Linked DNA regions of Stegostoma tigrinum. The protein of the gene in region 1 interacts with the protein of each later gene in a biochemical or structural test. Links are inferred from orthologs where the notes say so. Each region holds a gene or a part of one and is shown on either strand. Other genes may lie near its edges. The genes, in order: transducin-like enhancer protein 4 and pax5.

Evidence for each region.
Region 2: the proteins of transducin-like enhancer protein 4 (region 1) and pax5 form a complex in vitro, tested with the Homo sapiens proteins (2 studies listed by BioGRID). The link is inferred for Stegostoma tigrinum from reciprocal best matches to the Homo sapiens genes TLE4 and PAX5.

The regions. Positions count from the first base shown.
Region 1 is NC_081356.1:63,210,087-63,217,304, reverse strand, and holds the start of transducin-like enhancer protein 4, read left to right. Parts: upstream 1-3,971; 5' UTR 3,972-4,518; coding exon 4,519-4,542; intron 4,543-4,816; coding exon 4,817-4,914; intron 4,915-6,189; coding exon 6,190-6,253; intron 6,254-6,383; coding exon 6,384-6,428; intron 6,429-7,218. UniProt on the Homo sapiens protein: Transcriptional corepressor that binds to a number of transcription factors. Inhibits the transcriptional activation mediated by PAX5, and by CTNNB1 and TCF family members in Wnt signaling.
Region 2 is NC_081356.1:12,203,330-12,210,530, reverse strand, and holds the start of pax5 (paired box protein Pax-5), read left to right. Parts: upstream 1-4,019; 5' UTR 4,020-4,065; intron 4,066-4,220; exon of another isoform or gene 4,221-4,225; 5' UTR 4,226-4,370; coding exon 4,371-4,410; intron 4,411-7,201. UniProt on the Homo sapiens protein: Transcription factor that plays an essential role in commitment of lymphoid progenitors to the B-lymphocyte lineage. Fulfills a dual role by repressing B-lineage inappropriate genes and simultaneously activating B-lineage-specific genes.

The DNA.
Region 1 (7,218 bases):
AGAACCCAAAAATAGGCGACTATTCTGATACAGATAGTAAAAACCACTGATGCTGGAGTCAGAGATTACACAGTGTGGAGCTGGAGGAGCACAGCAGGCCATGCAGCAACAGAGGTGCAGGAAAGTTGAAGTTTCATGTCGGGACCTTGATGCTGCCTACCATGCTATGCTCCTCCAGCTCCACACTGTGTTATCTCTAATATTCTAACAGAATCTGGGCTTTATTTGGTGAGTGCAGAGAATCTTAGAGTTTGTTCTTTCTGACAAGGTCTGCAGCACATGAACTGGGCTGGAGGTGAAGCCTTCAAACATTTGGAGTTTCCATAGGCCTGAAACATCAGCTTTTGTGCTCCTGAGATGCTGCTTGGCCTTCTGTGTTCATCCAGCTTCACACTTGGTTATCTTGGAGTTTCCATGTGTTGGGTTATTCAAAGTACAGACCTGTTTGAACATCCACACACTCAACTTCTTTGACCTCATTTTCTGCCAACTTTACTGACTTGCTCCCTCAAAAATGACCTTCTCAATCTATCTGTCCACTTCAACTCCACTTCCAACTTCTCTGCTTGTACAAGATCACTAAGCCTCGTGCTCACCTTCCAGTTCAAACTCTCTTCATTTCAACTAAACAGCATCTTAATTCCCCAACCCTAAAATTTTTTGGACCAATAAATAATTTTTTACTTCTATTTCAACCTGGCGTCCTTTCCAAAATTAATACTTAGGGTGAACTTCTCAATGTCTGTTCTTGGTGCATCAGAATATTGGTTCTTAATGTTAAACAATGGTGAGCAGTGGGGCTTTTACTTCAGGCTCGGCTAAACAAAAGAAATACTTTTAGGAGCCTTACAGCTCTTGGAGAATATAAATGTCCTCCCCATCTCTGCAGGTTACATTCAAAAGTGGAATCTACAGATGGAAGAATATGTTTGTACCTGATACTAATGTTGAATTTTGGAATACCCAAGGAAACAAAAATTAGAAAGGTCGAGGCCATAATAAATCTTCAGAAATATCGCAGAACAGAGAGGTTCTTGGACCACAACTTCACTCCTTTTCTATTTCTGGCTCAATGTCACCCTTTCACACTTTGGCTTATTTACCTTTCTATTTTGAAACGAACTGTTAACTCACTACCCGTACACCTTGCGTTTCTCGTCTTAACGAATTTTCGCAACAACCCCCGCACAATTTTTCGCAGTTACCTCAACACGAACTGCAGAAACCATTGATTTTAAAATGTATTTCATTTTCAATCTTGTTACTAAGAATAAGAGAATCCGGAAAGCTAATTCATATCTGACTATCTAAACTTAATGTTACATTATTCATCATGCTTCCAAACACAGTTGATCCTATAATCTAAATTCATCTTACAAGGATATTCAATTGGGTTGAAATTCTCCAGGATCCGTAATCGACTCCAGAATTATCCATGCAAAGGCAGCATGCACCATGACAGGGACAGTCGCGCTTCTCGTAGTTCTATGTGAAGTAGAAAGCAACATCTTACCTTTTGTTAGTGGCCGCCTCGGCGACCTGAAAAGCCTGAAGGGTACCAGTGTCACCGTTATTCAATATCTCCGTGCTGATTTAAATTTGGTATTTGCCTCTTTATTTGCATATGCAAGGATCCTCACGCCTGTTTTAGACAATCTTGTCAAACGCTATTTTGCCGTCTTTAGACCACTGGACGAAAATAAGAGGCTCATTTTGAACCATTTTCCGCCGGTAAATGGGGATATTAACAACTGATTTCTAATAGAATCCAAATACTAGTGATTAGAATTGAGATATATCCAATGCAAAAATAAAGACCCCAATACATTAATAAAGACCCCAATACATTAACTCTGAACTCATTGTGAATAATGCCTACAGCTATTTGAAAGGTACAGTTTTAATTACTGTTTTAAACAGCGGTGATAAATTTCTTCTGTCTTGTAGTCACAGTTTATAATGAAGAATTACAAGTTTGAATGAAATAGACACAAGTTGCGGGCGAGATATACACCTTTTAGCAATTAGAAAACCCGGAAGGGGTGGGCAGATTTTGAGATTTCAGTTAATGTCTTTCTTTATTGTGAAAGTTCTTCATAAATCTTAATGTCCTCAATAATTAATGCCTTGCTGGTTACATAATGACAAGGGAGTGGAAAACTCAATCGCTTTAACAAACCAATTTTAGAATACTCTGGATAGCCTACATTGAAACCAACTGCTTAGTCGGTGTAAAACTTGCCTGTGATAACGATCGTTGTGCTTTAGTCACTTCTAAGTACTTACTGCTCCCAATTAAATGCCAAATCTTATACAACTCTCTTAATGATGTGTCTTCTATGTCATTCATTCAGAAGACACCTTAAAATATGTGTCACATTTCCTGTTTGGAACGTGGGCCAGTTAAGTTTCAAGAGTATTATGGAGCATTTATTCCACTTACAATGTTGCCAGAAATATGTAAATCAAACAACTGAAAATTGACACAAACACAACTACACTTTGTTTTCAAACTGAAACTCCTACCAGAATCATTTAATCAAAAGATGGGCTGATAAGAATGTAAACAGAATATGGCAAGAACAAAAGGAAACACTATCTCACAACATAAAACAGAAGCACTTTGTTATCAAGGGAAGGCTATTACGTTTTGAAATCTTTTGCCGGAAGGAAAACAGCGTTACAATAGAAACTGTACAAATGACGAGAACACCACTCCATCGGCCGTCTCCGCTGCTCCCAATCTTGCCACCAAATCAATTTTTGGACTATACCAGAGCGGTCTAATGGGAGGAAAACTGAATTAGCTGTAAAAGATATTATTTCAATGACATTATATTCGCGCCCCTTTTAATTAAAATTCAGATCTAAGGCAACGATTTAGCCAGCGTCTTGTACAGTGGTCACATATTACTTATTTGTTCTAGTTGTGTTTTGAATGTCGGCCATAGTGATGGATCGAATCGCTACAAGTTTATGTCTCCGTTTCTGCCTTCCAAAGAAATATTAGCATCACAGCAGTCGCGAGCGCTTCTATACAGAAAGTAGCCAAAAATAAAACTGAAATTATCTTTTGGGTATCATCTATGTTCCTTCCAGAATCGCTCTGGGGGAAAATTAATCAATAAAAAGAAAACACTGTTTTCCTGAGGAAGGAGTGAAAGCGTTAATGTGGTGAGGCATAATTTTCGACATGCTTGCTTTTGAATTGGGTTTTGTTATCCAAAGTTAAAACATGTCAAATTCTGGAGGTGCAAGCCAAGTGCTCCTCCACACCTCCCGACTCCATATCCTTGCTCACCTTTACGGAGCCTTGGGGATCCCCAACCCTCTCTGTAATGACAGATTGCTCGAGTATTTTGCAAAGAGACATTCGACCCTAATTAACCAACACTGCAGACAGCGTTCGGATGGAATAAAGCATGAGAGGAAAACACTCTCATTTCACCTAACGCCGGCAGAGCCCACGTTACTTTGATTGACAGATGAACAAATGTTTCCTCTTTTTTTCCCAACTTTCCGCTTTCGCTGGAGGGTTAAAAAAGAGCCTGAGCACCCAGCGAAAGGCAACGCGCTCTGCGCCGCCAGGCGTCAGCCGTGCACTTTTTACTCACTCTCATTGGTCCATTCACTAGCCCTTCGTCACCCCCCCACGTGGGGAACAACAACCAGGACCGTTCGTTATTGGCCAGCACTGGAGAACGAGAGGGCGTGGCCAACATGCTTCTGCTCGGCGATTGGCGGATGCGTAGAAACAGACGCGCAACGGGATGAGTGATGGAAAGAGAGGCGCCGCTCGCCATTGGGCCGCAGATCAAAACGGCAGCGGTCGGGGCTGTGTTTGCGCCGCGCAGCCTAATGGGCATTGTAGTTAGAACGGCGCGTGTAGTCCGTAGTCTGCAGCTCGGAGCAACGGACGAATGGACTACATATCCCAGGGTCCATCTGTACACCGCGCCCTGCCCCTAGCCCCGCTCTGCTCCGCTCGGCACCGGGTGAAGTATCTCATCCCCTGTACCTCCTCTTTCCCTCGCTGAAGTGAAGTTGACCGGGGTGTGAATCTGTAAGAATGTTAATGACACGGCGTTTCTAAATTTGGTAAACACGAGTCATTACTTCGGTCTGTTATCGGATGAAGGGCAGGGACGAAGCTGCTGCTGTTGCTGCCGCCGCCGCTGCGGCCACTCCGCCTGCAGCCCAGCCTCCTTGTCCCTCTCCCACGGCCAGTCTGGACTCACAGATGCTGTGAGGCAGCTTCGAGTCGCTGCCCGGCATAGCAGGATCCCGGATCGGAGGAAATCTCCCGGAGAATCTGCAGTCTTCATCCCGATGCTCCACTTTTTTTCTGTTTGTTTCATTCGCTTTCTGGGGGGATCGGAGAGATTTAAAGAGAGGGGCAGATCATTGCTTTCCACCGGATCGCCTACAACTTGGTGACTTTTTAAATTAAGGAACTTAAATGACACTAATACTGACCTGATCGACCGAGAAGGCTTTTGGTACAAAAATCCCAGCGAGATGTATCCTCAAGCCAGACATCCTGTGAGTGTGTTCGTGTGTTGTATTTGTGTGTTGTGTTTTTGTATGTTTTATTTTATCTCCCTCCTCTTCTCCAAACATCTCACACGGACAATCACAACGCGAGCTTTAGCTTTCTCTCAACACGCCTTTAATTATAGTCTTTCAGTAAATATTTGGAGACGTGCAAGGTGCAGTGTTTCCGTTCGCTTTGTCAATAACGTGAAGGAATAGCAAATTGATGGGATTGGCGGACGACTTGTCTCGGTACTGATGCTTTTTTTCTCTCTATTTCTAGGCGCCTCATCAACCCGCACAGCCCTTTAAATTCACCATCTCCGAATCGTGTGATCGCATCAAAGAAGAATTTCAGTTTTTGCAGGCGCAGTATCACAGGTAGATAGAATAGCTTTTTATGTAAAGAAAACCTGGCTACGTTGATGTTTCTGGAAGTACAAGCTAAGTGCAATTCTACAAATTGGGTGAGGATATTTAAAACGTCCTTTTCTTGCCGTCTTCTTTTCGCAGAGATGGGGCTATGGTATATATTGTCCACACTTGGTGTTTTGCATGTAAGCTTCTATTTCCTCCTATTTAACAGTCTGAAGGGAAATGTTCTCTCGGTTACTACTGTTTGGATGGTGTACGAGTGCAAAGCTCGCACTCTTTGTCGTGTTGGCAGTGAAGACAGATTTGTAACATCAATACAATGGGGTACTAAGGTTACTTGCTTCAACTGAGTCGTTACATTCTGTTGAATTTCTTCCGAAATGTTTTAAAAACAAGTGATCGGAACGGTTGTGAGGGACTCCGGACTCGGGTTATCGCTGTCCTCAATGCACTCAACGTTTCGATATTATTTTTAAATCATAGTGTTCTGATTTCCTTTCATTCGCGTTCACATTTTCTCTTTCATGTGATGTGACGGTGAAGGAGCAATATTCTCTGAGAGATTGCACTTCTTTCGGCTGACATGTAGAGGCTACAAAGTGTGAAACAATCACATCTTTTATGACTGGAACGCCCCCAAAGCTGCATTAAAAAAAAAGTTATGTACAGCCCGGCAGATCTGCAACTTCGATTCATTTTTGTTTGAAAAATATGCTGCATCACTTTTTTTGAAATCGCTTTTCAATAGTTGTATTTACATACTTTTTGAGGTACGGCGCGTTTTGTCTTTTCAAATGTTGGGATCCTGTTTTGCTTTTGTTTTTGCAGCGAGTCTAAACTTTATAAATTACACAATTTGGCTTTGTTAGTCGTGGACCAAGTATTGCTTTCTTCAGAACTCCTGTATTTTTGTACCAATTGAGTTAGTATTTTTAATCGTTAAATAATGGTTTCCTTTTCGGTTCTAATGAATTGAGTCTATTGAAAGAAATAACGTTGACGCATTTGTCAATGTTTGCATGTGTCAGGTTTGGGATTCTACTTGTACTTATTAAAATCACTCTTAGAATACATACTGTCACATTTGTCATGTACTCAGAGTTGGCGTCATAAATCATTTCTAGAACAACAAAACATGGTACAGTACTAATTAAGTGCACCCTGACTTGGTAAGCCCACACTTCTAATCATCCGGGTGAGATCGTTTACGCAGAGTAGCCTGCAGCGCAGTCTATGAAATGTCCAGATAGCGTCTTGAACAATTTTTCTTTATTTAAACAGTTTGAAATTGGAATGTGAAAAGCTGGCCAGTGAAAAGACTGAAATGCAACGCCATTATGTCATGGTAAGTTTAAACATGACTCTTTTTAAAATAATGGCAGATGTTGCTAATTCACCATATTTTTCAGTTTTTGTGACTGTGAATGCAAAAATCAAGATGGCTTTACGAACAATATCTTATGTTCTTTTCACAGTATTATGAAATGTCTTATGGTCTGAATATAGAAATGCACAAACAGGTAAGAATCTTTCATTTTCGATAAATATTTGGGGGATATGTTTGTTACTTGAACATGTGATATTGGGCATTGAAATAGACTTACGCAAGTGTGTCATAAGATTTTGAAGAGGAGAAATTGAGAGTTCTTTGCTGAAAATGGCAGAAATTTACAGGATTATTGAACTCCTTAAGGAAGATGTACATTACATACTACCTGCTGTATTGTTTAATAAACCAAAATCATGATAGTGGGACACATCTTGTTGCTGAAGTTTATTCCACGTGACGTGTATGTATTGTGTTTTGAACAGCTGTGAGAATCACATTTCAACAATGTCTTCAGCATGAAAATAACTTCTAACATCCAAACTATTATCAAACCAACATTTTTTTCTTTGTCATTTGAGAGTCAGGAGGTTTAAAATGCAAACATGGTGGCTGAAATTTGTAAGATTGTGATGGTATCTGAAGCTTCCAGTTCAGGACTTTTCTGTTGATACTGGCTATTTTAAACCTATCTCAACAATGGTACCTAACTATTCAGAATTTCAGATAGTACAACCCATGCCGTGCAATGTTATTACTTGAAATCGAGCCCCAAAATCTAAGTGTTGACCACAGTCTCATATCCTTTTTGACATGATTTTAAAAACACTCATTGATTGTTTGCCTGTGTTTGGAGTAATAAATCTTTCACTCTTGTGAAAGTGCAGTGGCGGTGCACTGACGTACTGTCCTTGTCAGCATGATTGATAATTCCACTCTGAGTCACAGGAACAGGTGCATAAATCAAGCAAAGAAAGGTATTT
Region 2 (7,201 bases), about 51 Mb from region 1:
ACCCATCCCAGGAGGAACGATCACAATAACCCCTGACCTGCAACCACCAATCACCATCTCTTACCCTTTCCTTAGCCCCACTGCCTCCGCATATTTACTTTTGTGCTTCCCTCCCCCTCCCTAGCCCTGATAAAGGGTGTCCTCCAGAAAGGTTACTGCTCCTTGGATGCTGTCTGACCTGCTGTGCCTTTCCAGCCTCACACCTAGAGACACTGATTCTTATGACTAAAGAACAATGAAACATTGTTTAATGTTGAAATACGATCATACTGAAATAGTAAGTGAGGTTAAAACTCTTGTATAGATCACCTGTAGTAAATTGAATTTTAACATTTTTGCACATTGTGTATTTAATTTGGATAAAATAAAACTCAGACTTTGTGTGATTTTATTGATATTTGTTGATATATTTTATTAAGAGCTAGAGTTATGAAACTGAAAGGCCTGGAAATATCTAGAAATACTTGCCGACAGTGTAAAGGGAAGATTTCCCAGTGCCTAAATATAAGGTGCAGAATTAAAACAAACTGAGAAGGTAACTATTAAGAATATGACTGCCCTGTTTATCTTGCTGTTTTTTGAATCGGTGCGAAAGATTATTCCAACTATGCTCTCCAGGTGACTGTCATTCATTAGTTTGCTTTTCAAGAGTGATGTAAATCTATATATTTCGGTTTCGATTATCACCTCTGGTTCAGTTCCTAGACCCCACCCCCGTCAAGAAAAATCTCCACGGAAATACTGTCGCAGATCAAATGTCATATTTACCAACTGGATCACTGTACCAGATTTTTTTTTAAGATTTGGAATTTTCTCCGAAACTTTCTTCTAAAGCTAGTGGAGTAATCTTGTGATCAGTGTAGACTTGTAAAAGGATTTGTGTGAGAGATGCGAATTCCGATCAAATTGAACTGTTACATTTCAAGTGAACAACATCGGTTGTCAACCCTTGAATTTAGGACTTCACAGACTTACACAACTCGACCACATTTTCCCATCAGTTGCTCCCACGGCTCCAGACCAACAATCCTGACACTTCTTAGTCCCGCTTGCCTTTTACCAAATTTCTCAACGAGACTGTTGAATCATCAGCATTTGGATTAACGAACTCCATCAGGTAAAAGTGAAATTTGGTGACACTTAGACTGCCATTGGGCTTTTAGTTTTATCTTCGGCGCAGCGGGCGAAACGTGAACACAAGATACATTTTGAAAAATAATAAAAATGTATTCCTGTATCCCTGCGTTGTTAACTGACGTATGACGAGGAAACTGACAGCCAAACTCACACGGCTGGAGAGAAAAATCTGAATTAATACCGACGGCTACACAAATTGAAAGAACGAATTGAAAATGATAAATTATCATATATCCACTTGTGAAAAAGAGATCTAATCTAGCCACGTTGTTGGCAGGGCCATTGTTTTCAGTGAAGCCTGTTTAAAGTTTTGAATAAGCATTTGAGGCTACGAAGGCTGAAGACGATGTGCTCTGGAGAAGAGCACCTGGATTAAAACAAAAATAGATACGTCAGATTGAGATTGACATCAGTTTCGTTGATATACTGATAAATGTTAATTGTATAGGTTAATTCTAGAGACAATAAAATGTGGTAACCATTTTGTCCCGCTTCGTACAATTACGTGTAAAGGGATAGTCAGAAGCAGTGATGTTAGTAGGTTCATCTAATTACAGTAGGCTAATATCAGCGAGGAAACGAAACGTAACACATTTTAATGTAGTGTGTACAACTCACTATCGATCATATTTCAGATACTTATTAATCAGTTATAAGTTTTCAATACTTGTGTCAGTAGGTGGACACAGTTTATAGCGTTATACTCGCACACCATTTCAAAATACTAGATATCTGCAAGGATCATGAGATTTAGTGACTTGGTAAAACGCAAGTTTCAACTGTTTTTGGGATGAATTATGCGTGCAAATATGTTTGACGTGTTTTACTCAGTTCAGTGGATTTCCATGTTTAATGATCTTGACCAAACCCAGGAATCTAGACCCCGTTCGAGACCAGTGAGGATGTTAAACAGATGGGGTTAGAGGGTGGGAAATAGAATTGATACATAATTAAGATGACAGCGGGCATGATAATTTCTTTCTTAAGTTCGGAGTTAGCTTGGAAGGTTACAATACAACTTGTAAGTGAACTTGTATTATTTTGACCCTTCATTAAATTGCCCTTCCACTTATCAGCAAGAGAATCTTCAGCAGTTGTGTTGGTTTTAAGGTTTTAATAAAATGATTAAAGGTGGATGACCTGAAGATAAAAGGTCACGTATCTCCTTTTAAATATTTTAGAAAGGATCATTTTCCACTGTCAACATTGTAAATTTCATAAAAGTTTCTAATTTGACAACATTCCCTGGTTAGATTGTTTTAAACCAAGCGCTGGCCAAAATCTGAGAGCTTGGTTCGTTCTGTTGCATATGTTTTGCAGTCGATATCTAACTGGCCCAGAAACTTTCAAACGCCGCGATTCTGTGTCAATTGCTGAAAAAATATTTTCGATTGTTTGATGCAGAGTGCAATCATTTCATTTAAATTAAACCAATATGGTTTAGATTTTAGTGGCGATCTTGTTTTAGCACACCTGTTTTAGTTCATTGATGAGCTCTGACGTTTAAATAAACGATTAAGACGTATCACCTGAAGCCTTTTGGAAAAGAACAAAGACAAGGTCGTCCCTATAGAGTTTGCTCTTGAGCCTGGCTAGTTCAGAACGAGTATTTTAGCATCCTTTGGATTTTACCTGTAAACCGTACGCGCTTTATAGACCGACAGACTCAGGAGTAGAGTTTGGGAGAAATGTTTCCATAAAAAAATTCCGTGTTCTGAACTACAGTACTTTAGGATTGTAGGCTTTAATATAAAAAGGAAATGCATTTTTGTTCATAGACATTTTTGGCAGGTTGGCTGGCCCTTTTTAACATACACCAAAAATATGTGAGTACAGCAGGTCAGAGAAATATGAATTGAGAAGCGTTGGTATTTTTATCCTTTAACATTTACTTTGAGGTTTCTCATGATGTTATATCTAGCAAAAATATGTTATCTCGGTAATTTACGTGTAAGTTTGCTTTTGCGGTGTGTCATTGGTTAAATAGAGAAATATATTAGAGAACACGGGAAAGTTGCGAGCACTGTCGAACTGACCCGGGTTCCACTCACTTGAGTTTTAATTTGACTGAAATCAGTACCATTTGCGCTTCTGCAAAACGATGTAAACATTCACCACCCCCGCTCCCTAAATAAACCCAGGTTGTGACACAAAAGGCGATAAAGTTACACGGAGATCACTGTCTAATGTTGAAATGCGGTGGGAACCGTACATTAGTGGTGCAAGTGTGATTACCTGTCTCAGTTACTACTATTCTCCGTACCGCAAAATTTGATACCATTTCAGAAAGGGCTGAAGATAGAAGCGCGGCAAATTGTTTTTCCCCCTATCTGTAAGTGTAGTAATCGTTCAGAAGCAAAATCTTGTTTTAATATATCAAGAAAGTATCCGGTCTGAAACAAAGGGCGGGGAAGGGCATTCAGTTCATTATCTTTGCCCACCCCCAAGTCCTATGAAAAGAGAATCAATTCGATACAATTTGTAAACAACCTCTGCGTTTATATTTAAGGAATAAACCGAAATCAGGCAAGTGGGTGCACGGAGCCGACAGGGTTTCAAAGGAGGGCTACGGATTTATTTGCATTATTGCTCCTGAGATTTGGTAGCAAGTATTTGGTTTCTCGAGGCAAATTAAAGGACAATGTGGGGGGTGGTTGGGGGGGGGGAGCTGTAGCGGTAGACAATGATTGAAATGATGGGAAAAAACAGCTTTTGATTATTCAGAATGTTAGAGCAATGCTTTGGTCGGTTTGTGATGTAGCATTTCACAATCCCAATCCTCAAACTGTGGAAAATATTTGCAGATGCCGGCCATTACAATCGGACTGATTCGCGGGCCGAAACCAGGAGATAGGAGGCGAGAGAGTGAGAGAGACAACGTCAAAGTTACCAGGAACCCCATAGGTGGGAGTGATTCGTCCGGCAGATGTAAGAGTTTTACTTTCTTTTCGATTGTGTCGAGGGACTTTGCGATTTTTTTTCTCCCTCTAAAGGCGAACAGGACATGATCTCACATGTAGCGAGCTCTTTTAGTTCCTTAATCATTTCACGGTTTGTTCAGAGCCTTTTCTCCACCTAAAACGTTTAGTTTCGGATCAATGGGCAGCACCAAAGACGCGACGGGGTAGCGGAAGAGTCAAATTATTCGGAGCCGACAAAACACGCACACATACCGAAACGGGGCAACTTTTCTTCCAATCTTTTCACAAAGGACTCGAAATCCCAGAACCGGCATGGAAAAAAATAGCAACGCACTCAGGAGTGTCCGATCAGGTAGGTTCATTTTTTTAAAAAAAATCTTTCTGTGAAATAGGACGTAAAAGCAAGAAATGACTGCCTACCAGCTTCGCGTTTAGTTTACAATTAAACAATATCCGTGTAAAACTATATGAAGTGTTTAAACACTTGTTTAAAAGTTAAAGAATTTGAAATAGTCAATTGATGGTGAATTGTCGTTCAAATCATGGGGAATATTTAAAGTGAATTTTGACAACTTAAAGTGAACACTGAACGTAAACAAAGAGGAAATGTATCTCTGGGTGCGAATATCTGTGCATGCATTGCCTGTCTTAATTGAGCAGGTCGGTGGTTGATCATCTGGTTTGATGCTGATTTGAGAGTGGTTTCCCCTTCACAGCTGAATTTGGTGGCCTTTTCATCCTTTGTGGCAAACTGGGATACAAACCCGCCCGCGGTTTCGCTGATCTCGAAAGATAATGAGTGATCGCTGCGCAGTCAGCAGTTACAACATTTAAAGCAATACTTTTGGTTCATGTTTGAGATCAAAGAGTAGTTTGGTTTCCATTGAATATTTGTAACGTGGCGGTTGCCAGCAGTACGCACGACGCAAACCTACTGAAACCGGGTCTACAGCTGAATGTACTGAGAGGAAAAAGCACTAAAAAGAAGACACGCAGTTCACCGCAAACCTCTGTTTTCATGTGCGAGAGGGACATTGGCGCTGCTTGTGTGTGTGTGTGTGTGTGCGCGCGCGCGCGCGCGCCGATGGGGGGGGGGGGGGGGATGTTATTTGTAGATCTTATTTTGCTGTTTTTCAACATTAAAATAGCTAAAGTGCGTGCAACTGCCTGAGCTGGTTGCCACGTCCTCCTTTTCTTTGCTCAATTCATATCGATTGTATTTTTCAAAATTAAGTGTCTCGACTGTTCAGTAGACGCGCTGCGGGTGCGGGCGATACCGGACGTTCAGTTTCGGAGATTAATAGAAAATAGAAGTTGACTTGTTGATTAAAAAAAATCCTCCCCCAACCCTTGTCCCGGATACTTTTGAAATAACCGTCTACCGCTACAGCTTAAACATGAACTCCACATGTGAAATCAGAATATAGGAGGCCTCTATGGAGAACTGAAATTGACTCGCCCTGTTCGGTTTGTTGATAAACATTGATATAAAACTTGCCGGTGAAACTTGGCGTAGCAAGAAGAAACCCAGAGAAGTTGTTTAAAAATAGGTTAAAAAAAGGTCTCTTTTGGGTTGTCACGGGTCCAACACATGCTCTTTGGCCGAAATAAAGCAATTGCATAGAACGTTTCATCGGCAAATTGAAACCAGCTTTACACACATTTCTTTGCAAATATAGCTTAGTAAAATGAGGTTTGGGTGGGAGGGTGGGGGAAGGGAGTGTTGGTTTTACTGTAATGAAATCTGTCTGATTTGGGTTCGCCGGTAACTTTCTCCACGACGCCCGCTGAACCATCAAGGCAACTTTCTCCAATCAGTTTCTCAACACAGGGCCCATCAATTCCGATAAATCCACACGATTTTGCTCGTTCACTTTATAGACTAAAATGTAAGGCAAAATTGAATTGACGAGGACAGTTTCAAAGTCGATTTAAACCCGGTGTCCGGATTCAGTCTAGGGACTGGGAATTAAGTCTGCAAATGTGAAACTAGTATCTTCTCCAGTGTGAAATGTGTATGGGTCTGTATGTCTTAAAATAATAACTTTGTAGCATTTGGTCACAAACAACATCTCCTTTTGATTTGCTTTACTTTTAAAGTGATAGGCCGCGAACACACCGAACATGGTGGAGCCGGGCGCTGAGATCTTGCTTCTGAGAACTGCAATGGGGGAACAGGTTGTAGAGGGAACGGGGCTGGTGGCCGATATCTCGGCGTGTGAAACGCCATGTGATTTTCTGCGAATTTCAAACCGCTGTTATTTTCCTTATTTGAAAATTAATTCAACAGGTCCGCTCAGCAGTTTGTTCGCCAATACCAATTAAACCAGTCTGTGGCTTCTGATGTGATGGTTCAGATCGGTGGACTTGTTTAGCATTGCCTGGTCTCCACTCAGCACCTCCCAACCCCCACTGCTCTTTTAAAACATTAAATCCGGTTATAGATAATGGTTTATTTTGCAAGGAAGAAGTTATTCAATGAAACACAATCCCGAGCTTCCAAAGGTAGAAAGGCCAATAAGGACACAGCCCCGTAAGCCCTGGCGTTTATCGGTCGCAGTTTTATCATTTTTTTTTCTATTTAGGATAACAGTAGTATGCACTCCGGCTGCTCTACCGGGCGCTCTATCACCAAGGCGCTTTTGCTCTTCCTCTCAATGGCAATGTACTAAAAAAAACAAGAAAACGAGTAGGACCTTGAACAGGTTTACTCAAAGAAAAGCAGGCCGCATTTAATCTCAAGTGTTTTTCGGCGTACGAATTTGAAATCTATCACATAGTTCACGAGCAATCACTGCAAAAAAAGAGTAGGTTCATGTGCCCTTCAGTCCCTGACAGATTGACTGACCCCTCCGCCCTTCCCCAGTTCAGCTTCCGAAAGAATCTTGCCCAGTTATTGATCATAAAGGGCTCCAGTTGCCGAGCTTGACACCAGAATGAATTTGTGCCATTCTGGGACATTAACTGCTTTTCCTGTCTGTGACCCGTGAAATAATCTATATCATTGTTTACCTACAAATCCGAGCTGACAGATGACAGGGTCGAAATCCTTTGTATCAGCACGTGCGAGCCACGCTTGTTCGGTATGGCCTGGCCTGTTTTAAAATGCTGCCTTTGTTAATTAGTTGCCTTTCTGGTGATGA